4 linked regions of the Caenorhabditis elegans genome follow. The protein of the gene in region 4 interacts with the protein of the main gene of each other region in a pairwise test. Each region holds a gene or a part of one and is shown on either strand. Other genes may lie near its edges.

The links.
Region 1: the proteins of tac-1 (region 4) and dlg-1 interact in binary tests that used the Caenorhabditis elegans proteins (3 or more experiments, as listed by UniProt).
Region 2: the proteins of tac-1 (region 4) and ddl-1 interact in binary tests that used the Caenorhabditis elegans proteins (3 or more experiments, as listed by UniProt).
Region 3: the proteins of tac-1 (region 4) and pat-12 interact in binary tests that used the Caenorhabditis elegans proteins (3 or more experiments, as listed by UniProt).

Annotation. Positions count from the first base shown.
Region 1 is NC_003284.9:5,476,033-5,487,383, reverse strand, and holds dlg-1 (Disks large homolog 1), read right to left. Parts: upstream 7,685-11,351; 5' UTR 7,624-7,684; coding exon 7,602-7,623; intron 7,393-7,601; exon of another isoform or gene 7,282-7,392; intron 7,166-7,281; exon of another isoform or gene 6,888-7,165; intron 6,720-6,887; coding exon 6,403-6,719; intron 6,327-6,402; coding exon 6,108-6,326; intron 6,061-6,107; coding exon 5,964-6,060; intron 5,917-5,963; coding exon 5,826-5,916; intron 5,773-5,825; coding exon 5,421-5,772; intron 5,365-5,420; coding exon 5,058-5,364; intron 5,000-5,057; coding exon 4,531-4,999; intron 4,473-4,530; coding exon 3,949-4,472; intron 3,866-3,948; coding exon 3,583-3,865; intron 3,536-3,582; coding exon 3,414-3,535; intron 3,359-3,413; coding exon 3,258-3,358; 3' UTR 2,443-3,257; downstream 1-2,442. Other genes in the region: C25F6.1 (Condensin-2 complex subunit H2), read right to left, coding at 7-136, 731-888. UniProt on the Caenorhabditis elegans protein: Essential multidomain scaffolding protein required for normal development. Recruits channels, receptors and signaling molecules to discrete plasma membrane domains in polarized cells. Required for proper embryonic elongation.
Region 2 is NC_003280.10:5,646,659-5,649,588, forward strand, and holds ddl-1 (WASH complex subunit homolog 3), read right to left. Parts: upstream 1,227-2,930; 5' UTR 1,217-1,226; coding exon 1,172-1,216; intron 1,123-1,171; coding exon 757-1,122; intron 707-756; coding exon 548-706; 3' UTR 501-547; downstream 1-500. Other genes in the region: F59E12.9 (TFIIS central domain-containing protein), read right to left, coding at 1-122, 170-242, 290-379; sam-4 (BLOC-1-related complex subunit 5), read right to left, coding at 1,530-1,751, 1,870-2,077, 2,124-2,416; F59E12.17 (Anaphase-promoting complex subunit 13), read right to left, coding at 2,471-2,626, 2,700-2,783. UniProt on the Caenorhabditis elegans protein: Acts as a component of the WASH core complex that functions as a nucleation-promoting factor (NPF) at the surface of endosomes, where it recruits and activates the Arp2/3 complex to induce actin polymerization, playing a key role in the fission of tubules that serve as transport intermediates during endosome sorting.
Region 3 is NC_003281.10:734,324-742,710, reverse strand, and holds the start of pat-12 (Protein pat-12), read left to right. Parts: upstream 1-3,732; coding exon 3,733-3,882; intron 3,883-5,030; coding exon 5,031-5,117; intron 5,118-7,083; coding exon 7,084-7,353; intron 7,354-7,410; coding exon 7,411-8,387. Other genes in the region: idpp-1 (SXP/RAL-2 family protein Ani s 5-like cation-binding domain-containing protein), read right to left, coding at 1-1,489, 1,538-1,723, 1,769-2,023.
Region 4 is NC_003280.10:14,750,113-14,756,803, forward strand, and holds tac-1 (Transforming acid coiled-coil-containing protein 1), read right to left. Parts: upstream 3,766-6,691; 5' UTR 3,764-3,765; coding exon 3,535-3,763; intron 3,472-3,534; coding exon 3,135-3,471; intron 3,083-3,134; coding exon 2,866-3,082; 3' UTR 2,779-2,865; downstream 1-2,778. Other genes in the region: smg-9 (Nonsense-mediated mRNA decay factor SMG9), read right to left, coding at 1,005-1,310, 2,147-2,377; Y54E2A.4 (Activating signal cointegrator 1 complex subunit 3), read left to right, coding at 4,557-4,593, 4,653-4,873, 4,921-5,118; Y54E2A.5 (uncharacterized protein), read right to left, coding at 5,867-6,154. UniProt on the Caenorhabditis elegans protein: Involved in microtubule formation, polymerization and assembly, regulating microtubule nucleation and length. Plays a role in pronuclear migration and mitotic and meiotic spindle elongation during early embryogenesis.

The sequences.
Region 1 (11,351 bases), on a different chromosome or scaffold from region 4:
CCATACATATTCAACATCTTTTTGAATATTGTCCTCGAGATACTGAATCGGTGGTTTACAAGTTGAGTCTTCCCAGGCTGTGCGGCATTCTGACATCATGTCTGTTGAAAATGCCAAAGTCACTTTCAATCGCTTTCTGAAAATATAAAGTTTGTTTTAGTGTAAGTAGGCAAGTTCCAATACAAAATGGTTTAGAAAAAATTTCTGGGAAAACACCTCTTTTTTCGTTTTTCAACTAAAGAATGTAAACTTGGTCAAAAAATGACAGTTAAAATTTTCTTTTTCAAAGTTTTCAAATAAAATTTAAAATTTCTGTCTAGCCTTGGTGAAATAATACAATGAACGTTTTCTGGTTAAAACTGCTCTTATCCCACTAATTTTTTGATGGGAGCCATTTAAAGCTTGTTCAAGAAGCCTTTTTTAGAATTTTGGTTTAAAAAACTTTAACTGAACACATTGTGAAGCCTAAAAATGTTTGAAGTATTATTATAACATCCTTTTGGATATAACATTTCCAAAGTTTTTTTTATTTAAAAACATTTTTGTTTTTTCCCTGCAACCGCATATAAATTTTTGTTCAAATATTTTTAACAGAGTGAAAATTTAATATCACATTTTTGGACCACAATTTTGGACATACTTCCACATACTGGTTATTTTGGAATTAGAAAATTTCTTGAACGTTCAGAACAATTATTATTAAAGGATTATGAGCTAAATAAAACATTACGTCAAATCATCCTCTTCTTCGTCACTTCCTTCCGACTCTGTGGCGGAATGTGCGAGCACGTCATCATCGTGAACCAGTGGAGGATAAACCGGTCGTTTTGGCATGTATTGATTAAATGCTTGCACTAGTTCCTCTTGTGTCATTTTCATTTTTGCCATGGTTGATCTGGGAAATTTGTTTTTGAAGGTATTTACGAATTCAAAGAAGATATACACAACTACTATATTATTTTGAGATATTCATTATTCATTTTAACTTTTTATTAAACATTATTTTCACTAAGAAATTCAGTTAGTAAACCAGTAAACAAACATTACAATAGAATAAAATTAACTGTCTCATTTTCCAAAAAAAAAAAAACGAATAATAAAAAATAAAGAACCGTCATACAAGTTGGGAATGCAAACAAATTTGTGAGAAACTAGTTAAGAATATCCGATAAACTTTAATACGTTCATAAAGCACGCACGTTCACACGGAAAAGACGTCAACCATCCTATTGACGCGTTTTGTGCGCGCACACGAAAAATTGCATGAAAGGGGGTCACTGACATGACCTAGCTCAATTATTTTACCCTTTATTTTATCTCAATGGTACTATGGTAGAACTGAAATCTTTTAAAGTTATTTAAACCGTAAGCGATATCATACTATTGTTACAGAAAAATTAAAGCGTGAACATAAAAACAATGAAACACATTTAATGAGGCAGAAAAGAGTAAAACAAGTAACTTTGCTATGTAAAAATAAATTAAAAATGAGAAAATGAGGAACTATTCTACAATTATAAACATTCATAAATTTAAAATCAAGATATCAATAAAATAAAAAAGATTGCTCCCGGTGAGGCTCGAACTCACGACCTTCAGATTATGAGACTGACGCGCTGCCTACTGCGCTACGGAAGCACTGAACAACGTCTGCAAAGTAGGATCAAAAGAATAAAAAAATGTTCTTAAATTCGAGCCAGTCTGTGTTTCAAATTAACAAAATGTGAGATAAAATAAATTGCTAGCTTTGACTCAAATTAAAAAATGAATTTAAACAGTTAAATTAAAAATTAAATTAAAATTACAGTTTTCTTCATGGCAACTTATGCTACTTGGGAAAACTTCAAAAAAAAAATTGCTCCCGGTGAGGCTCGAACTCACGACCTTCAGATTATGAGACTGACGCGCTGCCTACTGCGCTACGGAAGCACGTTGTGAACTCTTCACAAAGGACTTGAGAAAGGATGCAAAAACTGAGATCCCAAGTGGGACAGGGATTTGAAAATATCACAACTGTAAATAGTCTAGTTGAAAAATCTCAAATTTAACTCATAGTCAGTAATTAAAATATTATTGATATTTTAAAATCATTCTAATCTTATTTTGCGTTTAAAATACATGTTTTTTTCGTTAATTGAAAGACTAATAAAATATCAGGAACAATATTTCAGTCGAAGAAATATATTAGGCAAAAAAGATTGCTCCCGGTGAGGCTCGAACTCACGACCTTCAGATTATGAGACTGACGCGCTGCCTACTGCGCTACGGAAGCACATTTCGAAACGGATTCTGAAGAGTACTTCAAATCCTTTTGTTTCGGAATTTTTCCAGCGATCTAATAAAATGAATATTTTTAATGACAAATTGCCGCAGTCATTTTCAGAACACCCTGATATACTGAAAATAAAGTTTTTTCTTGTTACTTCAACACATGTATGTTTTGCAGATGCAATAAAATCTTTATTCAAGATAATTTGTATAAAAAGTTTTTAAAAATAATTAAAAAAAAAAAGTTTGGAACCAATGGATGAAAATAAAATGCTCTCAGAGTAATAAAAGTCCCAAAAAATAGAAATGAGCCGAAGTTTTTCATCAGTAGAGAGTCGGGAATATGATAATGATTTGCGGTTAGTAGAGACAAATGAAGCGTTGAGAATATCACAAACTGTCACAATTTCAAGTAAGAAGTGAATTGAGTTGGGGGAGGAAGGAGAGGGAAGAAGGAAGGAAAGCTGGGGCGGATTATAAAATGCAAGTATTTGTAAGGTGAATTTCAAGATAAAATGGGCTGTAGAGAAAACAGGCAGTACAAACTATCGTAGTAAAATATTCGGAGACAAAAGTAGAAACGATTCACCGTTTTCTGGCAGTGATTGTGGAGAGTTATGATTGAAAATGAAAATAATGAGCAAGGTAAAAGAAAAAAAGAATCAGAAAACTATTGAAATATTGGCCTTTCACGTTTCTGAGTTCGAGTAGTAGAGTTTCTTGAATTGAGAACTTGGAAAGGTCATGTAAATTAATGCATAATAGGGAAGGGGTACTAAACAAAATACAAATAAAGATGGGGATGGAAACAGGATAAAGCAAATGACATCAAGAGTTTTTTCAAAGGATCACTTTTCTCAGATTAAAAAAAAGTATCACAACACGGCGTAGTCTAATTATTAAGGTAAATTAAACTGTATATTAATTAATTTCAAGAAGACATATTTCTTGAAGAAACGATTATTTGTCTAAAAAATATCCAATTTCATCTAATGACGTGGCACCCAAATTGGCGTCTGCGATTCACGGCTGATGATGGAGTACACTTTGCTCAAAACGTCATTCGCGCTGTGCACATTTGAGATTTCTTCTGAAATAAATAAAAAATCAGATATTTGATAATAATGGTTGGAAAAAAGACATACGCGTGAACAAATCCCCGAAAGTTTGCTCAATTCTATGACATCTGGAATACTGCGCTTGAGCTTCTTCGCCACTCATCGCTCGATCGTCTTGTCGGTTGGTGGCAAGTTGGCTGTCCAATTCACTGAAATTTTGCAGATTGATAAAGCTTCTTTTTACAATTTAACTTACAGAATCTGTTGTGCAGAGCTGGGCTTGATGAAGATCGAGATTGGTTGAATATTGGCATTGCTTTGAAGTCGTCGGATAGCATTTCCACTGACGTCCAGAATACAGTGTCTTCCTTGGTTGGCGACATCTCGGACGCTTTGAATGCTAGTTCCGTAGAGATTGTTTTGGAATTGTCCCGCTTCAATGAAGAGATTATTCTTGACATCTTCCTCCATATTGTGCTTGTTGACAAAGTAGTAGTCACGTCCGTTAACCTCTCCCTCGCGTGGTGGTCGGGAAGTGTCTGAAAAGGGTATTATGAGTATATTGCACATACTATTTAGAAATGTTCTCTTTTTTAAAGTAGTTAATAACTTCACAACTTACGTGGAACGCAGCTACTGAATTTCGAAGGGTCGCGGTTGACAAGTTCATCGTTGATTCGGTCTTTGAGAGCTCCAAGAATGATCACTGGACGAACGTAGTTGATCGCCTGTTGCTCAACTGCCTGGTAGGACCACACTGGCTCTTCAGCTACATTTGAGGATTCCTCATTAAGATCGTTGAGCCGGTCGGTACTTTTGACGAATGGGAACTTTCTGGAGAAGGAAAGCTGACTGCGGCTTCCTCTTCGGTTTTCCAATCCAGTAGTGCTCGAGTTTCTTCCAAGAGACTGCGATCCCGAGTTGAAGTTGACTTGCTTCCGACGAAGTCGTTCTCTCTTCTCGACACGTTTCTTTGATGGAATCACTCCTTCAGCTGTTTCTTCTCCGTTTTCGTGAACTTTTCTAGCTGTCCACCATTCATCGTCAGATGAGTTGATGATATGTAGGATGTCACCATAGTTAAATCCCATTGATCTATGGGGAGCAACAGAGTTTTCACGTGATGGATCATAATCGAAAAGTGCTCTGAAAGATGTTATTCGTTGATATATGTATACATTTATAAGTAAACAAATCTTCTTACCTAACATATTCAGACTTTCTGCTCAAAGTTCCCATTCTAGATTGAGCAATCACGTCGTTTCTCAGCTTCTCAATTTTGGACTCAAAAATTTGATACTCTTGTGGTCTGTACTGAAGAGTGAGATAAACGGGATTTCCAGCGTTTCTCAATGCTTCAGCTGCTTCCTTATGGGTTGCATTTCTCAAAACAACTCCGTTCACTTCAAGAAGAACGTCTCCAGTCTTCACGTTTCCACTAAGATCAGCAACACCTCCTGGGAGAACAAAACTGATGTAGATGGGCTCATTGTCTTCTCCGCCAACAATGTTGAATCCAAGTCCATTTTGGCCCTTTACAAGTTGTACTGGACGGGGTTCGAGTGGAATTGCGATGGGGGCTTGTGAACTGTAGCTGGTGTTCAGTGGTCCTCCGTAAGACAAATGACTTTGAGATCCCATTTGAGAGCGGTTGTAGTCTTGAACGGAGCTAGCTGAAATGAAATTAATTAGAAACTATATTATTATTTTTGATTCTTGGGATTGTCTTACGTCTGAGAATTGGGGTAGTTGGCATGAATTGTTGGCTCGCCGAGTCATTGAAAATTGCCCCAGTTCCTTGCTGAATAAGAAGTCGAACACGATTTCCAGTGTTTTTGAGAACATTGACCGCATTTTCATGAGTCGTGTTAATCAAAGAGTGATGATCAACTTCAAGAATCTTATCTCCGACTCTTAATCTTCCGTCTAATTCAGCTGCTCCCTCCTCAATGATTTTCGTCACATAGATATCGGTATCTCCTTTAACGTGCTCGTTTCCTTGACCACCAGCAATAGAGAAACCAAGTCCACGTGCTCCCTAAAAAAAGTTCACATAGATTCTTTTGTACTTTGGAAAGAGAAAATGTCGCCAACCTTAACCAGATCAATGACGGATGTATTCGGTCGTGTGGAACGATATTGGCCAACAGATAATTGGCTCAATGATCCGTGATGAACTGGTGGTGGCGGTGGTGGATGAATCGGAGCCGATGGAGAATGAATTGCGTGTTGCAAGTTGCCGGCGCTCACTGATGGAGTGACTCCTGATCTGAGGTAAGAAGTCGACCCGCCAAAGTTTCCTCCAATTGGAAGAAAGGCTTCATCTTTACGCCGTTTCAAACTCAACGAAACAACGTTTCCGGAGCTTTTCAATGCGTTGACTGCAACCTCATGCTTCACATTTTCACAGTTTGTATTGTTGACTGCAGTGATAATATCATTCTTTCTAAAAAAAACATGACCATAAAGTTCTGTTCATCTTAAATTGCGGTTTTTTACCTCATACGCCCATCAGCAAGTGCGGCACCTCCTTCAATAATATTGGTGACATAGATAGAAGTATCTCCGTCTTCTGTTGGTTGGTCCATACCTATAATCAGATATGTTACATCATAAATACCGGTTGAACGCGCATACCTCCAGTAATCGAGAATCCAAGGCCGGTGTGACCTTTCTCCAAGACAATATTCTCAAGCTCCCATTTACGACCATGATCATCGATAACTCCAGTATGCTGAATATATGATAATTAAAACTAATATTGAGCCAAAATTATCTTACTTCAACCACACGTCTTTCAAGACCACTTGGAGTGTCAACTGTTCTTGTGGTTGTTTCCCGCCATGTTCCATCATGACTGGTCTGACGTTGACGCTCATGAAGGTAGTGAGTGCTGGATGAGTTGTACGGAGAAGACAGAAGTCCGTTTCCAAGTCCATTCCCAAGCCCGTTTCCAAGGCCTCCGCCGTTCAAATACGAGAAACCTCCCCGATCTCTCAGCTAAAATAATTTTTTTTATAAAGTATTAAAAAAATCTAGAATCCAAATCCAGAGAAAAAAAGAAAGCAGAGCTTACATCTGAAATAAGTGGAGTTGTGCTTGAAAGGTTGTAGTTCGACGTGGAAGTCGTCGCAGCCGGACGACTGTTGTAGGAGTGTGGTCCACCTTCGAGTCGCTCAATCACACGCCTTACTTCCATATTTTTCTCTGCATCTGATTTTCGCTCGCTGAGCAGCGTCTGCTCGTACAGATCGTGAATGTCGAGCAACGAATGCATCAGGTTTGATTTGAATGTGGTGATAACTCGTTCCAGGTTTGTGCGTAGCTCCTCATTGCCGTGTCTTGTCAGTGTCTGGCAGTAGTCCTCCACATTTTCTATCGCTTTATGCGCTTCTGAAAATACAGTTTCATGTTCAGTTATAATTGTTGTAGGATTATGCACATCCCAAGTCGCAAAGTGTAACAAGTCTAGGTTGATGACTCATTTTGCGGCAAAACATGGTCAACAAAAAAGGTTATCATGCGCTTTCTTTCCCATCCCGGCAAATAACGATGAGTCACCCTGCGAGGATGCGCAATCTCCCTCGTTTTCCCTCCTTTCTCCCCTTTCCCTTCGGAATGTACAAGACTGGCCCCGGAAAGATGTCTCCGATGAATAAAGGGGAGACTCCTGGTTGGACTGTCGGACACGTACACACACCATCACAAACAGATTGTTTTCTCTTTGCCCTCTTTCTTTTTGCCTTCTATTCCTCCCACTGCGTCTTCTTCGCCTTCTTATACAAATATAATGTTTGCACATTCAGAGACGCATCCTCACCATCATGCGCGCCAGAAAGCATTCACCTGGCGGGGAGGAGGAGGAGGCTCCGAGTAGTGTGAACTTTTCGAAAACGTATATAGCAAAATTATTACGTATATGTGTATGTGTATCGAAATGTGTAAGTGTCAACACCACAATACCTCATGAGGCGGGGTGGCCGTATTTGGCAGTTTCGAGGTGATAAGAAGACTGTTGAGATGCGATCATCGCATTGAAGTCATAAGAAGGCAGGGAAAGGGGGAGCGTAGAAAACGCAAGAATGTACATAAGTTGGTGTGTTGCCTTGGCTAATTCTGGTCATTGTGACATTGAGTTTAACGACCACGGCGACCGTAGGAAATGGGTTCGGTGATAATTGGTTAGGAGAAAACTGTGGCAAACAATTGAGATTAGTGGACATTGAACGTTTTGCAAAATAGAAACAGTTTGAAACTTAAATGTCTAGAACTCACTTTCCGATGACTCGTGGGACATGCTTCCTTCCTTCGGTGAGGCGTTCTTCCCACTCCGATCGGTTTTCTTTCGATGCTGGTCGCTGAAAATTGAAAAAATTAAATTGATCAACAAGTTTTTGAGACTGAAAATAGAAATAGACGACTGGTTTTAATGCTTCTAATAATCTAAAAACAGAGCTCGGTAAGAAGGAGGCATTGAAGACGAAAAGGAAAAACTGTGCGGCGATAAGACATAACTTATCAGAAAGAAACAAGAATTTACGGCAAACACACGCACACACACACACACATACACACAAGCAGGCCGCCATTGAGTTTGTTTTAGCGAACTTGATGTAAATAATAGAAACAAGATGCAGAGCAAAACGAGCAGGGGAAGGAGTAAATGAAATTTTTTGAAAAATCTAGGAAGATTCATAAATCATAATCCATCGTGGATAGAAAAATAGAAGGATATCCCGTACATAGAAGATGGAAGACGCTAGGTTTCGCATTTCACTTGTGTCGAGTCATGGATATGTTTATTTTTTGTTCGGCAATTCCCACCAACTATTGGTATGATTCAGTAGGTTGGATGAGGGGGAAAAATATAAATATTCCTCTCGTCTTCCTCCGGGCGGGTCGCATCTTACTCTAGATTAGTATCTACCAGAAGGGAAGACTGTGTGTGAGAGATCTGATAGATATGCTTGAGTAGAAGAAGAGGTAAAAAAGAAGGGCGTTTGGGTATAAACGGTGGGGGTCTTCAACGTTTATTGGACACCAACCACCTCCGCCGGTGGTTTTATTATAGACGCGAGGCGACAAACCGCACCATCGGAGAGGGACCTGGTAGGAGGAGCGGGGAGTCGATTGTTTTGAAAGGTTGTCATCTAATTCAAAAATTAGTAAACTATTATTAGGTATTTTTATCTTTGGATATTTTGTAAAATTCTGAATTTAAATAAAGGAGATTAAGTTCGGAGGGTTTTGGCTCCCTGGAAGGTTTCATAATGAGTCCTGAAAAATAAATCCAAAAATTTTGGATTAAGTTTATTTAAATTAACATATTCCTACAATTTGTCTTTATCACAGATGCCAAAAATATATACAAGCCAGAAATTTTAAATTGTTACCACCCCATCACGTCTCTTTAAGTTAAATAGTTAAAATTATCTTCGCTCTAAAATGTATGTTTCATTAGAACACTAACAATTTTATCTAAACAAAATGGGGGTTTTATTAGAAAATAATGCCATAAAATTGTATAGTTTGAAATTAATGGTCACAGACACGTCTGCAAATTTGAGTTCACAAAAAATATATTTCAATAGCCACTTGATTTCCAAAGAACTGAACAAAAAACAGGAACAAGTCGACTTGAAACAAATCACAGTGTCGAAACATAAATGGTCAAGATGAGAAGTGGAACAGACCCGGCCAGCATAGAAAAAACAACACTAACTTATGCGTCACGCTGTGTGTGTGTGTGTGTGTGTGTGTGAAATTATATTCAACATGTACAAGCCAACGGGACATTAGTCACGACATGCGGGAAGAAGATAGCGAACGTCGTCTATTGTACCAAAAACATGCCGGGAACAAATGCGCCAAAAAAGTTGTGGCGAGGCGAATACTCTACTACTATTTCGAAATATGGAATTAAAAAAGTCATATTTTTTTCTATTTTTTTAAAAAGGTTTTTTTAGTGCGCCTTGACTGTAGCGATTTTATGTACTTTTGGGATTTTATGACTAAAATGGGAACACAAAACGTCTAAAATATACCCATACCTTAGTTTCTTGATTTTATTATTACTGATAAAAATATCAGCATCAAAGAATGTTTGCAAAGTGACTCATATATTGCACAAAAATAACCGTACAAAAGAGTTCATAAAGTTTCCAAAAAAACATACACTTGCGATCTCACGACATCTAAACAACAATGTACAGATGTTTAGTAAAAAAGGGAAACACACTAATACATTCCATAGAAGTAACAGTGCAACTAGAATGTTAGAACATCGATAGATAGACAAATACAGAACTGAATCGAATCAACAACCGATCATGGGACACATTGGGAAAACGCAGTGAGAGAGGAAAAAAAAGAAGAGCCAGGTAAAAAATCACTGCAAATCGATTGATAAAAACGAGGAAACGAGAAAACGAACGGTATGAGAATCGAACGGCCATCTCACTGCTTATATGTGAGCGTCGTGGTTTTGCTTGTAATGGCCATAAAATCGGAGGCCCCTCAATACGAAGAAGCAGAATAAGAAGAAGAAGCAGAAGGAAAAGGAGCGGAAAAGCAAGGGTGCTGGTTTTGGCTGCCGCAAGATAATAGTTTCTCAACAAATATTATCATGACAAACAATCAGTACGATGAAAATGCGACACAGTGTTGGAGATCAAGTGTCATTAGAAACGGAAATGAGTCAACCATTTTATACTAATGAGACTGGCAACTCTTACCTTTCAAAATGATTTTTTCTTTCAAAATGACACACTTGATACAATGAAGGAAAGAAGGGAAGAGAAAATTATATATGTATATGCATGATGTGCATGACAAGTCGGCTCTATTGATAACATGTAAAACGTGTGAAAATATAGAGGGTAAGATGTAGATAGAATAGTATTCACTGTATAACGACCGACATAGGCGCTGGTGCGTGGAGAAGAAGAGACGAAAATGCTTATGCATCTTTCATTCTCTGTGGGGGACTTTCTAAGCTGACAAATAGTTTTGCGCCCTCATTCCTAAAATGGAGATCATTCGCGAAAACAGCAGGGGGTTTCAGGTCTTTGCACTTCCTAGACTAATCATTTGGAATATGTGAGAAAAAAGTGAAGGGGTTTTATTTAGATTTGTGAAAGGAAAAGTTGTAAGAGTCAATTAATTAAAATATTATTAACTGAAACATCAAGAGGGTTTAGATATAACGCAGCAGAGAGAAAAAGGATTAGATAATCCGAAGATGTTTCAAGGACATGGTTTTTGAGATCACTAACAAGGGGGCGCCCACTCACTAAAATTATGCAAGAGAAGCGACTGTGCCCCGGAGTGCGAAATCAAGAAGAAGAAGAAGGACAAAACATGCGGATTATGCGGCCCATTGTTTTATTTGAATAAAACATATAGACCGGTCACTCGGTCCTCATTTTCAAACGCGCCAGACGTTAGTTGTTGCTTTAAGAGCCCCCGCGACGGCCGACTTACAATCACCTCTTATCTGTTCTGGCAGGCATGTGCGGAGAGCCAACACAGAGCCACCCCGACTAATCATTAAAACATGAGGGAAACATTGGCAGCGACAGATAACAAGAGATGCGTTTTTTTGCTATTTGAATTGGAAAAAATTATAATTAAATTGAAAAATTGGAATAATAAATAAATGGAAGTTGGAATATTGACTGAAAAATTTCAAACTTTTAACTCAGCTTCAATTTTCATTTAAAACACAGAAAGTCTAGCTTTTGTCTGAAATATCTAATTCAATGTAGAAATATTGAGTTAAATATACTTTCAATGTAAAATTTAGAAGAAGAAGAGAAGCTCAGTTGCACTCATGTTTTCTTGCATCACAAAAATAATCAATTTATACTTACCCCCAACAGCTGACTTGTTTTTAGTTTCCGGATTGAAACGTTAAACCTCCTCAAACACTTTGTTAAAATTTAGTTCCAAAAGTATGTTTTCGGAAGAAACATTAAATTTTATCAAAATGTGCTAAATTGACAAGAAACTCAAAAGTTGAAACTT
Region 2 (2,930 bases), 9.1 Mb from region 4:
TGATGAAAAATCTGCCGAATCAGAATCTGAATCGTCCAAATAATTCAAAATTGGAGGTTTTTCCTTCTTCTCGCTTTTCCGACGTTTCTCTTTCGACTTTGGTGTAACTTCCACGTCATCTTCTGAAAAACTGCCGATAGTCTAATCATTTATTCGAACGGTCGCTCACCTTGTTTTTCCCTTTTATTTTTCTTTTTCTTCCCAGGACGTTCACCTTTCATAAGTGCAAGAGCGACAGGAGCCTAAATTTCAAATAAAGTTTCCATGTGATATTAATTTAATAACTTACAGATTTCATGATGGCATTTTTGAGTAGTTCACCCATGGCTGGGCTCACAAGTTCTGCTTGTGGCGTAGTTACATTTGAATGTGATTTCATTTTGTCTGAAAGGGAAATTAGTATGTATATTATATCAATTTTAAAAAAATGAATAGAAGTATATCATAATCGTTAAAACGAGTTAACAGTGTAGTACATCATATTCCGAAAATTAAAAAATAATGTTTTATACATTTTATGAACCCGTAAAAATATACAAAAAATAAATTAATCAGAGTCAGAGAAGGATGCCGTAGATTCTCCAGAAGATTCATAATTCCGTGAAGTCTGTGCCTGTGGACGAGATGGTTCATCACCGCGTTTCAAAATTGATGGGTCGACGCCTTCGGATTTCATTTTCTGTATTACACCAGCTTCAAGCACTCCCTAAAAAAAATTACAGTATTATTAAAGCAATTTCAAGTGGATAAACTCACCAATTTCAGCATTTTGAAATATTTACTATAAGCCGGGTCGTCTTTGATAAGAACCGTCGTAGTATGTTCTTCTGGTTTCTCTTCCACTGTTTCCTCCACGATTTGTGAAGAGCTGGGATTCGATTCGTGAATTTCGTCTATTTCTGGTGCTGATGATGGTGTGGCGGTGGTTGATTTATCCTCCAAACTCATTCCTGCCAATTTCGATTCCATCAAGCGTAACTTTCGATCGGCAGTGTCTAAACTCTGCTCTGCCTTTTCCAAAATGTCTTCCATTTTATTTCCGAAATTATTGAGCATTTCTGTCATTTTCATGATGAGACAGTTGAATGTTACTGCTGTACGGTGATGATCGATCGGAGGAACCTTAAAAAATTTAGCTTTAAAGTTTTATGATGAGATTTTAAGATATTACCTTGTTCAAATCGATTGCAGGTTTGGTTCTGGAGCTCGCATTCATTGCTGGTGATCTAAAAATTAATTAATGATGCAATTAATTACAAGAAATGGAAATATGAAAAAGGCACAAACCATATAAGTTAGATTCAAAGTAAATTAATTAGATTAATTTGCGAAAAATACTAGAATTTATGATAAATTTAGAAATCAAAATAGGATTGACGGATAAATATGTGCATGAACTAAATAAAAAATCACAAAACGGCAATGGAATTTTGATATTGCGAGAAGAAAGTGAGATAAAGCCTTCAAGACTTTTTGGGAAGGGCGATAGGGCAACAGATTCAAGAAGAGAATAAAAATTTACAAATTAATTATTTTGGTAGATCAACTACGCGGATTTCTTCAATCGGCTCAATTTGATCAATATGACCAATATTTTGATTATGGCGGGGCGTACTTTGAAGTGAGCTATCACTGCTTGGAACGGGAGATCTGTCGAGCACTGAGCCAAGATTAAGAGGAGGAAGACGTTCGTCGGGAGTTAGAATTTCATTAAGCGTTTCAACCATTGGCACAATATCTTCAAGAATTATCTGAAAATTAATTTTTGATAAACGGAGCAAGTTTTTTGAGCAAAAATGTAAGGTGCAACATTTTAAAAATCAATTTTGGTATGATGCATTAAATATTGTTTCTTTTTCTAATTCGCACCTGAATACTACAGATGTCATCGTGCAATTGATTAAGTCCGCTCAATGCAGCCATAAAACCGTCATGTTGTTCTTTATGAGCTCTTGTTTCTTCAATAAGTCTGATCATTTTCGCTTCAACACTCTTGCAAGTTGCTGGAATTTTAGCTTGATCTGCTGCCACTGCTTTCGCATTAACGGCAAAATGTTCTTGTAATCGTGTTGCTAGTCTGAATATGTGACTTTAAAACTTTGAATAAAAGGAATAAATCTTACCGAAAAAAGGGCCGCGAACTGATTTTTTGATGAGTGTAAGAAGCTCCTTGATTCGTTTGTGGATCTCGTTTGCCTATTACGGCTGGAATCACCGGCAAAAAACGGGGAATTTCGGTGAATCTTTTGTAAATTTCATCATCTTCGAGTTTTTCTTGAGGAATATTGCCATCTTTGACCGTGATAATGCCTTTTGATCGTTTAGTACTGGCTCGAGTGAGAAATGAAAAAGACGACTGTTGATTTTGAGGATTAGATGATGTGCCCGCTGTTGACGAGCTTTGTTCGTTTCCCATCTGAAAATTTGTGTAAGAAGTTAAAAAATTACATCAACTTTCACAAACCTTGATTTAATTTTTTGTACTATTGATGGTTGGTCCCATTTGAATTTGATCCAAACCAGTCTCGTTCCAGGTAGTGTTTGGGTCGGCGGGCTGACGAGCAATGGTGGGAATTGCGTCGGTTTCGATATCTGGCTCAAACTCGCGCGGAATTTGAATCTCGGTCTAAAAATGAATAATTTTAATTTCAATACTTACGGGTTTTACACTTTAATTATTCGAAAAGCTTGTCACAAACCTTTGGCAGACGCTGGAATATCCACTCTTTGTCCCACTCTAAAAATGTGTGATCAAGTCGAACTTCTGATGGGACGAACGACATACGATGGCTTTCTCCGAAGTTTCCTTATCCTGTAATCAATAATTTTATGTATTTTTAATCGGAAACGTTTAAAATAAATGGAAAACTCCAAAAAGGAATAAAAAGAAAAATTGTGCAGACCTGGAGAGCGCGTTGAGTTTGAACACA
Region 3 (8,387 bases), on a different chromosome or scaffold from region 4:
AAGGAGCGGAAGATGTATCTGCATCATCAAATTGACGGGGCTGTCTTGACTCAAAAGCTGGTCCTTGTCCGCGATTTCCTTGGCTTCTTGCCCCAAAGTCCGGTCCTTGGCCACGGTCTCCTTGACCTCCTGGTCCGAAATCTGGCCCCTGTCCACGTCCACCAAGTCCTCCCGGACCTCCCGGGCCTCTACGTCCTGGGAAGGCATCCTGAGATCCCGAGTCTGAATCTTGCCCACGGCCTCCTTGACTTCCTGGTCCAAAGTCTGGTCCCTGACCACGTCCGTCACGTCCTTCTGGACCGCCTGAGCCTCTACGTCCTGGGAAGTCATCTTGTGGTCCGAAGTCTGGTCCTTGCCCACGTCCTCCTGGACCGCCTGAGCCTCTACGTCCTGGGAAGGCATCCTGAGATCCCGAGTCTGAATCTTGCCCACGGCCTCCTTGACTTCCTGGTCCAAAGTCTGGTCCCTGACCACGCCCGTCACGTCCTTCTGGACCGCCTGAGCCTCTACGTCCTGGGAAGTCATCTTGTGGTCCGAAGTCTGGTCCTTGCCCACGACCTCCTTGACCTCCTGGTCCGAAATCTGGTTCCTGTCCACGTCCACCACGTCCTCCTGGACCGCCTGAGCCTCTACGTCCTGAGAAATCATCTTGTGGTCCGAAATCTGGTCCTTGCCCACGGCCTCCTTGTCTTCCTGGTCCGAAATCTGGCCCCTGTCCACGTCCACCACGTCCTCCTGGACCGCCTGAGCCTCTACGTCCAGGGAAATCATCTTGTGGTCCGAAATCTGGTCCCTGTCCACGTCCACCACGTCTTCCTGGGCCGCCTGAGCCTCTACGTCCTGGGAAATCATCTTGTGGTTCGAAATCTGGTCCCTGTCCACGTCCACCACGTCCTCCTGGACCGCCTGAGCCTCTACGCCCTGGGAAATCGTCTTGTGGTCCAAAGTCTGGTCCTTGCCCACGGCCTCCTTGACCTCCTGGTCCGAAATCTGGTCCCTGTCCACGTCCACCACGTCCTCCTGGTCCTCTGGGGAAGTCGAACTGGCTATTTGAGTCACTGTGCTGAGAATTTTCTGACAAATCAGAATTCATTGATGAAGGTCCTCGGGCAAATTGTTTCTTAGAAAACTGATTTCCATTGGTTAGATTGTCGGATGGTCCAAAGTTCTGCCTTTGCCCACGTTCTCCTGACCCTCTTTGGTTATTATCCTGAGTTCCTGGCACAAATCCTGGACCATCCCCCCTTCCACCTCTTCTAGACTGGAAATTTTGCTGTGACCCAGTTTGTTGGAATCTGTTCATCATCATTGGCCCAGCAGGCATAAACGGTTGTTGCCCAAACATCATCATTGGTGGTTGCTGTTGTTGGAAGATAAATGGAACCATCGAGGATTGTGGCTTCTTTCCCATTCCTATTCCTTGACCGAAAATTGGAGATCTGCCTTCAGGACGGTAGTTGCGAGCAATGAAAAACAAAGCGCGGACTTCCTGAAAACCATAATCTTTAGATAAAGCAGAGTATGAGCAAAAACATACCCTTGGGAAGGTGGTAGCAAGCTTTCTGATCTGATCATGTTGGTCACGTCGGGTCAGGTTGCTATTCGAAAGAATTTCTTCTAGCTGGGTGTATACTGTGGTTATATTAGAAGCCACGGCTTCAACGTTCTTGCTCACAGCTTCTTTTTGTTCTTGAATTTTCTTTGTCCAAGCGTTAAATTCGTCCTAAAAATCAAATGTGTCTCAAACTTAAAGGACGGTAGTACTTACCGTCACATTGAATGCCTTGGCCCAGATTGTGAGCTGCTCATTTTGCTGATCTTGAGAGAGTTGATCGTTACTAACAATGTCGAAGAACTCTTTTCTAGCAAATCTAGGCACATGCATCAAGAATCTAGGGAACAATGGTCCATCGGGAGATGGACGTTGAGCTTGTTGCCCACCAAATTCTAGTTCCGATGAGTCTTCGGAAAGCTGCGCCAAACAAGGGATAAGTAGTGCGGAGAGCACAATGAGCAACCTCATCGTTTGCTGGAAAATCTAGAAGTTACGGCGACCAAAGAAAAATTTGAGGAAAAGGGAAAATTAAACGGTTTCTTTCTCAAAGTTCCCAGTTGACTCCTTAAATACTTTAGGCCTAGTCTACCTGATCGCGATGTGTGTTCCTTTGAGCACACACGGTCATTTTTTCCTACAACGTTAGAAAGTAAACTTCTGCGTGCGCGCGCGCAAGCACGGAGCCAGAGAAAAACAGTCTCACTACCTAAGAAAGCCGATCATGGGGTCACTAACCTGGAAAATAGTTGAGCATTTGTGGAGGGTAACGAGGCAATCAACAAACAACCTGGCTTTCTCCTTCCGCATTTGAGATCCGCATCAATTTAGTTAAGGGGGAGGGAGGAAAGAGAGAAAGTTCAAATTTTGTAGTTTTTCAAAAATCGTGTAAATACAATTAACTTTAGGGAACTTTTAGAAGAAAGTGCAACTTACGACAAAAAAATCACAGTGATCAGCGCCAGATTGCGTCGCGAGAAACGTTTATTTTACAAAATCATTAGGCTCTGTATAAGTGACTCATTATTTTAAACTTATTTGTTGGTCTCAATATACTTTTCTCTTACAGGTTATCACAAATGCTAACATGCCATATATCTCCACGAGAATTCCGGATCCCCGCCGGAACCTAGCCGGAGACTTCCCAAGTGAGCATAGCAAGTCGAAGATCAAACTTGATCCGCTCGAGCAACGTCGGTTCAGAGTAAGCCGTACTTTTGAAGACTGAAATAAAATTTTATATCATGTTCAGAGCAGTGAATCGCGTCCAATCACCACCAGCAACTATCTCGCCGAGAGTGTCGATCGCCATCGTGAGATGGAAGCATCCCGGCTCAGAGAGTATTTGAAGGTGATTTTAATTTAATAAAGTCATGAAATTATAAAATTAAACGTTCTAGGCAAAGGAAAACGAAGCCAATCAGCCATGGAACAAACCAGGGTGGCCTGGACCAAAGAAGAATGATGAGAGCCTGAGGGAGCTTGAAACCATGAAACAGGTGAGCATGCATAGCACTGCATGAAAAGTATAGTTAAAAAGTAATTCGGAGTTCCGCATAAATCTAGGTATTCAAATAGTTAAATTAGAAAATATAAGGAAAATTTGGCAATACATCACAAATGTATTACACAAAGCCTACAAGTGATGACCAACAAACTTTGTCGAACCCTTGAAAAAAAAAATTTATTTTAAGATTGTTAAATACATTTTCAAAAATCGACCCGATTACCCAGTTGACAAAATTAAGAGATGTCATTGGTTTAGGGTTACCTTATTCACACTAGAACATTTTTTATAATTTTGTTTCCAGAGAATCGAGACGCTGAAAAGAGTAAGTCTATATCCCCTTTCTTGCATGTTTGTTTGTCTTCCTGTTTGTCCTTATGTGCATGTTATACTGTGTTGTCCCTCCTTTAAAAAAGATATCCCTGGCTTGGAAACGACAACACATGGATCCTCCTACTACCTACTGACCAACTTCCCTGAAACTACACGGTGTGGTGTGAAGCGTAATAGTGTGTAGAGAGCCGTCAGCCGAAATTCAGAAAACTTCCCAATCGATGAGCGATTTGTCAGTCTTGCCTACGCCGTCACAATTCGAGCAGCTAAATCCGGTGAGTAGACGGGGATGTTTTCGGGTACTCCAGGTTTTCAAAACGGAGCATTCGTTGAACAATAAATGAGTTTTCAGCAACCTCAAGCTTCTCCAATATCTCCGGGAGATTCTGGATGGCTGATCAAAATGCGCAAAAATCGATATTTGGATCACACCTCAAAGGTGAATGAGCCTAAGAAGTACAGATCAATGGACCAGCTTCCGACTGGAAAAGTAAGCCCCTGTCTATACTCTCAACCCAAAAAATCTCAACTAATGAGATCCACCAAAAAATTTGCGTCCTGCGCTCTACGCCAAATCGAATAGTGTCTCTGCCGAAGAGTTTTCTCTCGCTTAACACATCTCTCCTTCGATCGAATAGAAGCCTCTTGAAACTTCCGCCGACGCACACACAAACTGTATGTGTGGCTGCTGGAGGCTCTGCGCGGCGAGAGAGGGGGCTTGACGGATAGAATTTGAAACTCTTTTCTTTTCCTCTTTACTCCTCCTTCATTTTTATGAGGATTTTCCTTTTTTTTGAAATTTTTTTTAATGAGTAGGTTTTTTTTAGAGGTTTTCAGGTTAAAGTTGTAGGAATTTTTTGTTTCTTGTTAAAAATGATGCATAACGAGACTAAGGCTTAGTCGTAGTTTAAGGCTCAGACTTAGGGTGCAGTGTAATCCGTTTAAGCCTAACTATAAGATAAACATTATTCTTAGGTGTAGGTATAAGCATAGGCTTAGGCTCAGACTTAGGCGTATGTATAAGCTTAGACTTAGGCCTATGTTTAGGCGTAGGTATATGCTTAGGTTTAAGCTTAGGATTGTACTTAGAATTATGTTTAGGCTCAAACTTAGGTTTTGTCTTGATCATACAGTCTTAAGATCAAAATGAAAGGAAAAGTGTTCATTGCATATATTCCTTTTTAGTTAACTTTCAGTTTTTTTTCAAAATTGTTATTGCCTAAAAATAAGACTAAAATTCAGTATTGGTTGAGGTTTTTAATTTCTTGGTGACAAAAAAAAAACGAACTAATCTAGTTTGATATTCCAAAATAATCATGTTCGACCATCATATGTTATTTCCTTTTCCATATTTGATGCTTTATTTTTTTTTTAGAAAATCCTATTGACTTTGAACCTTCATTGCTTCCTTATCTTCACTCTATCTCTTACCGCAATCATAAATTGTTTGTTTCGAAGTTTGTTCGGAGCAGCAGTAGCAGGCGCCCGCGCTCGCGCACCTCCCACAATAATTGTCGGTGTATGCGTGGGGGTGATGCTTTGACTGTTGAATCAGTAATCCGAAATAAAAACAAAGCAATTTTCGAATTGAACAACATTGAAACAAATTGCCTAAAATACAAACAGTTTTGATTACAGGTTGGTGCACCCGACAACGAGAAGTCGGAAGGTACAGATCCGCTGCACTGGCAACTGAGGAAAGACTTCCATTTGGCTAAGTATTCGGTATGTTTTAGTTGGTAACAATTTTGAATATCTGAAAAATTGTAAATTAAGGATCTAGTGAACCAATGTATCAAACCATTAGAATTACAACGATCAGACTTACCTAGTAAATAGTCATCTCCAAAAGGAGTATCTTCAAAGCTAAAAAATGTCCAAGTCGAGAAATAGGTTAATTAATTACAACTTTAGCAAGTCTTGAAGTCCAATTCATAGCTTAAAACATAAGGATCTACCCCGAATTCTATTTTTTTACTGCATAGGAGTTCTACAACGACCCAGGAGATCTTATAAAATTATAGTACTCTCTGGAGCTGTTTTTAAGGCCTAATAACTTTTCTATGCCACCACTATGTATTATATGAAAGTGAAATAAATATCGAAAATTCTACTTTAGTTTGTTAAAATTCACTTCAACTTCTGAAAAGATTATATTAGTGTAACAAACGCACTTGGAGTCAGAATGTCTCAATTCAGTTTGATCTTCAAAAAATGCGGGAGGTAAGACACAGACATCTGATTTTTTTGTATGATTGAGCGTGCTGACACCACAATTTTTTTGGGAAAAAATTCCCGCATTTTTCGTAGACCACACTGTAATGGGAGAGCCTGACACCACCTGCAAACGTATTCCTAAACATTTACAGAAATTCGTTAAATCCCAGTCATCTCCACACATAGATGTATTTATCATTTCTCTGCAGTAGTTCTTAACCGTCATGCGTTCCGCGTCGTTCTTATGTTCCGCGCACCGGGGAAACACGCATTTGACCCGAATAGTGTGCTCATGGTGATAAGTGTTCATGCTCGTGCGTGCCTTAACCTCCTCCTCCCCTGTGTTGCTCCTGGCGCTTTTTGCTTCGTTTTGTCTTTCTCTCCACTATCCCTCGTTTTTAACATACGAAACAAGAAAGACAAACACATTCGTCAAAATCCTAGGAGTTCCCGGGTGCGTCTCTCCGACCTCTCACTAAGTCTCTGGCTCCCCATTATCCTCAAAAGCACTGTGTTTTTTTTCATTATTAGGTGCCAGAATCTAGGTTCAATCTTTTCAATTCTATTTCAATTTTTAAATTTGATGGTTGCAACCAAATGTTTCTCGGCGGAACAGCTTTAACATACCTATTGTTTCAAAAACTTTTGTGGTCAATAGACATAACTCTGAGCGCAAGGCACCCATCTCTAATCACTGTTGCTTCTGTTTGCTGGGCGGGTGAGAAAAATGTCCAACATTGTGTTGTACTTCTTTTTCAAAACCATTCTTTTTCATCGTTACACCAGCACTCTCGTTTCCTGCGTTTCTCACAATTTTGGGATTCTCTGTTTATTCGAGTACATACCGTAGTGGTCGGCTCTCGCTGCTCAACACTTCATTTTTTGCCCTCGAAAAGAGTTTTTTTGGAAAGTTGCAAATTCAAAAATCACGGAGATATTGTTTTGTTAACTTTTATTGGCGAAATCGATTTTTAAAAAAAATTCTCTAACAAGATACCTTTTCAAAATTAAAAAGTGTCCATCATTGAAATGATCTCATCTTTGACCAAATCTATAATTTTTATATTTATAGTTACTCTATTTTCTTTTCTCCCACTGAGATCTCGTCTTGCCTTATTGAAAAATCCTAGAGAATTATATAGAAAAGTTACTGACAATTAGGCTTCCATCCAAATATGTCCTCAACCAACGACGACAATACCGAACCGCCGTACTCGACAGTCAGGCAGTTACGAGCAGAATATCTGGCTCGAGTGGCGTCATCCTCCACGTCATCTCGATCGCATTCTTCGCGTCCACCACGCCGGGGCACGGTTTTTGGGACAAAACCTACTATCAGTTTGCCATACATTCCAGAAGTTGAAGAGGTCTAGAATTGTGTTCAGTAAAGTTTTAAGAAACGATGTAGAGGAAGGAAAAAACATACAAAAAATTAAAAAAAGTTTAACTTAAAATAATCTTGAATAATTTTCAGGAACGTCGTGCATCATACCACGTAGAATCATCGTCATATATCCACAGTAGTCAACAGATCCAACATCCTCCACAACAACACCATCCACCACCACCATCACCACCTCCAGTTGCAGAGACGATACAGCACCAGCCACATCCTTCACAGCAACAACCATCGACAACTACCATTTCTAGCAGACAATTGTACAAGTCACAGCTATTATATCCACCTGGAAGTACTGAGAACATTGCAAGTGAACACAAACCTGCAATACGTCCACCTGAAAAAGTGAGCGTGATGTTTTAAAAAAAATTTATTCCCAAATCTTTATCCGAAAAATTACAGTCAGTCTACGAAAACAATCCAATAGCACCTTCCGAATTAAATGTGCAAGTGAAGCGTGCTCCACCACAAGGTCCGCCACCACCTCCGCCGCCGCAGGCTCCAGCAGACATTGACTATCCAGAGCGGTTAATGAGCCCACCACCAACTCACCAGCCACGATCAATTCTCAAAGGGTACTCTTCACAACAGTACTATTCGCAGACAAATCTTACGGAATCACATCATCATCAGTCTAGCCAAGAGACATCCCTGAACCCTCAACAAATGCATCCAAGACCGTCGGATCGTCGGACACCGACTCACTTTGAAGATCTTAGTGAAGATGAAAAAACTCGAATTATGCATGAAAACTTGCAAAGGCATCGAAATATGAGAAGTGGTCCTAATGGTCCAAGACCAACTACTACCTCCTTTAATGGTCCATTTTTCCGATTGGAGCAGGTTAATCCAGGGCAGAACCAGCCGCAACAGCCACAGTATCAACAGCATCCTCGGAGCCAGTCAGTGGATCCATCCGGAGATATGAACGGTGGACCAAGACCGATTCATCAAAATTTCTCCGCATCGGAAATCGAGCTTCATCATTATTCTCGAAACGCAGAACCATCAGTCGTTGTGTGGCCCCCAGTTTCCGAGAAAGAACGAGAACGACCTAGTTCAGTGCTTGCTAAGAACTTTAATGATCCAGAAAGAATCGATGAGTATCAGAGACAGAAGCGACTAGAGTATGAAGCAATTCAACGCACCAACGAGAAACAAGCGGTGAGCATGGCCAAACAGGTCAATGCGATGATGCAACAACAAAAGCTCTACGAAAGGTCTCATGGAATGACGTCACCTGTGCCAATCATGGAATCGATCTCTCCACAGCCTCAAGTTTCTCATCACCACCACCAGCCTCAACAGCATCAACAACATCAACCGCAACAGCAATACTATCCATCTCCTCCACCTCCACCACAACCGTACAGAGATCC
Region 4 (6,691 bases):
TAATATTCCAATCAGGAGTGGGCGGCAATCGAATTTTTCCGGCAGATAGGCAAATTGCCGGAATTGATTATTTCCGGCAAATCGGCAAACCGCCAATTGCCAATTTGTAGACAAAAAAATTGGCGAAATTGAAAGTTTCCGACAAATCGGCAAACCGGCAAATTGTCGGAATTGAAAATTTCAGGCAAGTTGTCGGAATTGAAAACATCCGGCAAATCGGCAAATCGGTTAAATGCCGTAATTGAAAATTTCCGGCAAATCGGCAATTTGCCGAAAACGAAAATTTCCTGCAAATCGGCAAACCGCCAAATTGTCGGAATTGAAAATATCCGGCAAATCGCAAAATCGGCAAATTGCCAGAATTGATTATTTCCGGCAAATCGGCAAATTGCCGGATTTGAAAATTTCCGGCAAATCGGCCAAACGGCAATTGCCGAATTTGTCGATAAAAAAATTTGGCGAAATTGAAAGTTTCCCACAAATCGGCAAATTGTCGGAACTGAAAATTTCCGGCAAATCGGCAAACCGGCAAATTGTCAGAATTGAAAATTTCAGGCAAGCTGTCGGAATTGAAAACATCCGGCAAATCGGCAAATCGGTTAAATGCCGTAATTGAAATTTCCGGAAAATCGCAAAATCGGCAAATTGCCAGAATTGATTATTTCCGGCAAATCGGCAAACCGGCAATTGCCGAATTTCTCAACAAAAAATTTGCCGAAATTGAAAATTTCTGGCAAATCGGCAATTTGTCGAAAATGAAAATTTCCGGCATATTGGCACACCGGAAAATTGTCGGAACTGAAAATTTCCGGCAAATCGGCAAATTGCCGGAATTGAAATTTCCGGCTAATCGGCAATTTGTCGAATTTGTTGGCGAAAATCCGTCCACCCCTGATCTCATTAATTTAAATGAAAAACTAATTTCGTGGCAAGACCTTTACAGAACTTTTCGTGCGCCTTTAAACCAATTTTTCCGATTTTTTGTGTCTAAAATGCTTCCTCACATCACTCATCGCAGTGGAATCATCGAATCGTCCACCTCGAACCTTCGGAAGGCCTTCCATAATCGAAAAACTGTACATTGGCTGACAATCCAAGAAAATTTGATGATTTACAATATAAATATCGATTTGAATTGTTTGATGTCGTGATTGTTCGTTGGCTTCTCGAGAAACTGGCCGAAAAACGTATTCCCTGTACATTTGACGTGAATTATTCCCTGCCAACATGCTCAGCAATGTGGATTTTCCGGCGCCCTGCGGCCCGATCGCAGAGATAACGTTGAAGTTGGGGCTCGATGTGAGGAGATCCTGGAAAAATTACAAATGCGCTCCACGGTCAACTCCACCCCCGAATAATGGGTCTCGTTAGTTGTTTGGCGGCGAAACCGTAATTTTAAAAATTTTCAAGTTTTTCGTTTTTTTGTTTTTGAACTTTTTCAAGCTATTTTTCGTAATTTTTTTGTCAATTTTCAAGGATTTTTCGACCTTTTTTTGTCGATTTTCAAGCATTTTTTGTAATGTTTTTTTCAATTTTCTAGCAATTTTTGTAATTTTTTTGTGTCAATGTTCAAGTAGTTTTCGTGCTTCTTTCTTCAATTTTCAAGCATTTATCGTGTTTTTTTTTACATTTTCAAGAATTTTTTTGTAATTTTTTGTCAATTTTCAAGAATTTTTCGTGTTTTTTGTTTAACATTTTCAAGCAATTTTTGTAATTTTTTTTGTCAATTTTCAAGCATTTTTCGTTTTTTTCGTCGTCTTCTGTTTTTTTAATGTGTTGAAATTTTTTGTTGAAATTATAAATGATAAATGCTTGAAAACTGTCAAAAGGGACGAAAAATGCTTAAAAAATTGACAAAAAATACGAAAAATGCTTTAAAATTAGCAAGAAGCACAAAAAACTTAAGAAATTTGACAAAAAATGCTTCAAAATTGAGAAAAAACACAAAAAATGCTTCAAAATTGAGAAAAAGTACGAAAAATGCTTGAACATTTTTCAAATTAATTTTTAAAATTTTGGAAGCATTTGAATTTACGAGCAAACCCTAACGAGACCCATAGTTCGGTGGAGCGCGTTTTCACGTCTCCAATTTCAAGAAGCCATTTTTCTGCGTCTCCATAATAAATTATTAAAATAAAAAACACACTGAAATCGCATCGGAAATCTCTCCGAAATCCGTCAAAAATCGCACAGACTCCTTCATCGCTTTTTGCGATGGCTCGATGACCGTAGCGGCGGTAGGCGCCACGTCATCGGCCACCGGACGTGTTTTGATGGCGATTTTCGGTGCTCCATGAGTTGGGCTCGCTGTGGAGGGTCGGGCAGCGCCTCCTGCAGATGATGGCCGAGATGTTTTCAGAATTTCCACTTTTTTCATCTGGAAAATTGCAAGATTTTAATAGAAATTTTGAAAGTTTTGCATACATTTTAATCAAAAAATTCGCTCAAAATCCATGCGGCAGTCTGAAAAGAGGTGTGCGCCTTTAAAGATTACTGTAGGAATTTTATTGACTTTTATTACAAAAACCTCGTAACAACGCATAAATTGTTTGGAAAAACAAGTGAGAACTAAAAAAATCAAAACAAATTCGGCCTGGAAATTACAGTACACTTTAAAGGCGCACACATGCTTGCATTTGGCAAATGTTTTTCGTGTCGAGACCGGGCGCTGTATCTTTGGCGCGAAAATTTAGAAGATTGTAGTTTTTCTCGGTAAAATACTGAAACGAAGCCTTTTGTACTTGTTTCTCATACAAATAATCTGGAAAACAAATAAATAAGCTGAAAAATTCATGTACAATTAGAAAATATAAGGCGGAAAGCGAAAAGGCGGGGGGAAGAAATATTATATTTTACAGAAATAAATTATGCATCCGTCGAAATAACGGACATCCCATCGGAAACGTCGACATCATTCAGAAGTTGATCGCAAATCTGTGAGAGCTCCGACACGCGGTTCGTGAGCACCTTGATCTCGTCGTTCTTGCTGGAGAGCTCGATTTCCTGGCGTTTTACACGCAGACGGAGTCCCTTTGTGTTCTCATCGTGGGATCGGAGAAGATCGTCGTACTCCACGGATGCTCTGAATTGAAATATATTCTTACATGTTGCAAATTAAATTTTCTCTCACTCACCTCTCAAGCTCAGAATTCGCATTATCCTTGACGGCGAGGAACTTTGCCTGCCACTCGTCAACTTCGGCGGCGGCGAGCTTCAGCTTGTCCCTCGCGTCCTCGTACTCGCCGCGGATGTCGTTGGCGGCTTCGCGAACCGTGTTGAACGAGGCGAACAGTGTCGCGTAGTTGGCGTGGAGCTTGTCGGCTTCGGCACGGGCGGCATCTCGATCTTTCAGCGCTTTTTCGAGCTCCTCGCTTGATGCCCCGCCGCCTCCGATGCCGTTTCCTGGCGTTGTTCCGTTGCAGCGGCCTTGTGAGATGATTTGGCCGTTTGAGCAGCGACGGACTTCGAATTCTGAAATTAATATGGTTTTATTCCTCTTAAAATCTCTTTTAGCAATTTTTCAAAGCTTCTCACCATCCGAGTGCAAGAGCCGCTCGATCAACTCTGTGAGCGCCTTCGTCGTGTGCTTCATCACAATGATGTCGCCTCTCGTGGCACCGCACAGTGTCTCCACTGAAGAACTGGGCTCCGCGGCTTCTTCAACCTCTGGCTCCTCGTTCTCCGGATGCCCATTTTGCGACCCGTTGAATGGGATGACGACCTCGGTTCCGTCCTCTTTGGTGAAGGTTGTGTTGAGCGACATCTGAAAATCGGATGAATTTAATAGAAAAAACCGACATTTTTCGTGAAAAACGGAGAAAATTAACGATTCTTCAGTTTTCCCGCGTCATCATTTATTTTCGTGGTAGGAAAATTGTTTTGAAGATTAGTATGCGCCTTTAAAACTTCTGTAGTTCAATTTTCTTGTTTTACAAGGCTTTACAAGAGGGTTTCAAAATAATTGAAACAAATTTTTAATTAAAAAAGTCATTTTTTAATTTTTAATTCAAAAAAAATCAGTAAAAACCATAACCAACAACAAAAAAAGCACGAAAAAAGAGTCCACAAGAGTAATCGTGGCGGGAAAATCAATACAAAAATTGGACTGCGCCTTTAAAAAGTACTGTAGAATTTTTTTAAAAACATTTTTTGTTATCTTTCAATTTTCAATGTTTCTCTTCATTTTAAACTATTTTAATGATTAAAAACACATCTTTATTGCGAAAAAAATTAATATAATACACTTTTGCATAAAAAACCGCCAAATAAAAGTGCAGTTGGCCTAGAAAGCGCTAGGTCAGAGAAGGGAAGCGGCCAGGACCTTATTTTGTTCATTTTTATTAATTTTCACCTTAAAACAGAGAAAAAAACAAAAATATTTGGCAATTAAACAAAATAGAAATTAAAAGTAATTAAAACTTAAAACTTCAGAAAAAAATCGATTTTTCAAAAATTGCGAAATTTTGAACAATGTTTGAACATCCTTCTCTCTTGAAAAATATAGTTTTTCATTTTAATTTTAATTCTAATTTTACAGCTGCCAAACTAGGTACAAAATGGATCTTCTCAACTATATCGAACGAATTGGAGATGGTTAGTTAGCTTTTTTTCCATTTTTTTATTAAAAAAATTTTTACCAGATGTTTTTTCAGATCCACCCTCACCATCACGGGTAGCAAGCTTCCACCAGGAAATTCAAATTCGATTTCCATCGGAATTTCTAGAATGGTCGAATTGTGAAGCTGAACAAGAAGGTTTTTCAGAAGCTCCAGAAGCTCTTTCCCTACCCCAAGTGCCTTCTACCTCGGGCTCTGGGAGCATTTTTCAGCCGATTGCTGACACATTGCTTATATATTTTCCAGATACGTTTGAGGTTGATTTTCGGCTAAAAAATCAAGTTTCTAACCTATTTTCCTTCAGACAATATCCCAAAACCTTCTACAAATGTTGTGCTCGACACGTTCCGATATGGATCTACAGGGCGAGCTCATCGATCTTCTCGGCGTCGAATTGTTCGAATTAGCCGGAGATATACTCGAAAAACGGAATAAAATAGTTTTCGAGGTGAAGAGCCAGGAGCTGGCGAAAGTTGAGCATGCGAGGCAGGCGAAGGCGAAGGTAATAGTTTTGAAAATTTTAAAAATTTGCTCTAAATGGCAGAATATAACAGTGAAAAAATTTATAAAAATTTTCTAATTTTTTTTTGATTTTTTGAATTTGGTTTTCTGGCTGTTTTTTTTATTTTTTTTCCATTTTTTACAATTTGGAACATAATTTGTCAATTTTTCGGACATTTTTCCACAAAAAACGTTTTTCAAAAATTAAATTATCGATTTTAGGCTAATTTTAGAGTTTCAACAAGTTTTTTACGGAAAAATTTCTGAAAATTTTATAAATTTTGTTTAAAATTGTGACATAACGAAAAATAAAGAAAAACCAGATAAAACAGTCGGAAAACGCAAAAAAGGCCAAAAAGACCAAAAAGCCAAAATCAGGCCAAAAAAAAGGTCAAAAGAACTGATTTTTTTTGAATTCCAGAGTAAAAAAAGTGACGTCACTTTCGCGTTCTCTGACTTTAATTGATTTTTCTTCAATTTTTCAGCAAATTTCATTACGAAAGAATGTCTGAAAAATCCACAAATTATGTTTCAAGTTATAAAACAGAGAAATATCAATTAAAATAGCCGGAAAAACGCAAAAATGTCGAAAATGACGTCACTCGCTTTGCGCGGGAATTTAAAATTTAATAATATTTCTGTTTAGCCCTTTTTATTTTTGTTTTCAAAATATAAAAAATCATGACAAAAATTTAGAAAAAAAAAATTAAAAAACAACAAAAAAGATTTTCGCAAAAAAAAGCTCATATTTATTCGACCTGAATACAGTTCTTAAAAAACGAGATTGCCAACGCCAAAATGATGACCAACGAGGCTGAATATCCGATTCCTCCCTGAACACAACGATCATTGCAAATCACGAATTCGGACAATGTTCTGTGACGTTTCACATAGCGAATTGCGGTTGTATTCGTTTTTCCTCCGGATTTTCTAATCGATGCACCATGAGCTCCATTCGTTTTCGGTGGCTTGATTTCTACAAATTCCTGGAAGTTGACGGCTGCCGAGGTGTCACATCCGATGGCGTTTCGCACTTTCTGAATGAGAAAAGCTGTGAGAAATTGGTTAAACTAGGCGAATTTTCTACAAATTGCTTTATTAGACTTGGAATTGTCTAAAACGCCGAATCTCCTAATGAATCTTCTTGAAAACTTCTCAAAAAAAAAAAGTTATGACGGCTCAAAAAAAATGACATAAAATTCGTTAAAATTTGAAATTTGACTTGTCAGCGGCTGGAAACTAACTTTTTTGAAATGGTCGTCTAATTTTGGATGTATAAGTTAATTAACTTGCGTTTTCAACTCGATTTAGGTACATTTAAGGTCTTCTGGCCTTTCAAACCGAGTTGAAAACGCATGATAATTATTGTACACCCAAAATTAGACGGTAATTTCAAAAAAGTTAGTTTCCAACCGTTTGGCAAGTCGAACTTCTAGTTTTACTAATTTTAAGTAATTTTTTGAGCCGCCATAACTTTTTTTGAGAAGTTTTCAAGAATTTTAATTATGAAATTCGTTTTTTAGACAATTTCAAGTCTAATAAGCAAAAAAAAATTCGACTACACCACCTTCAAA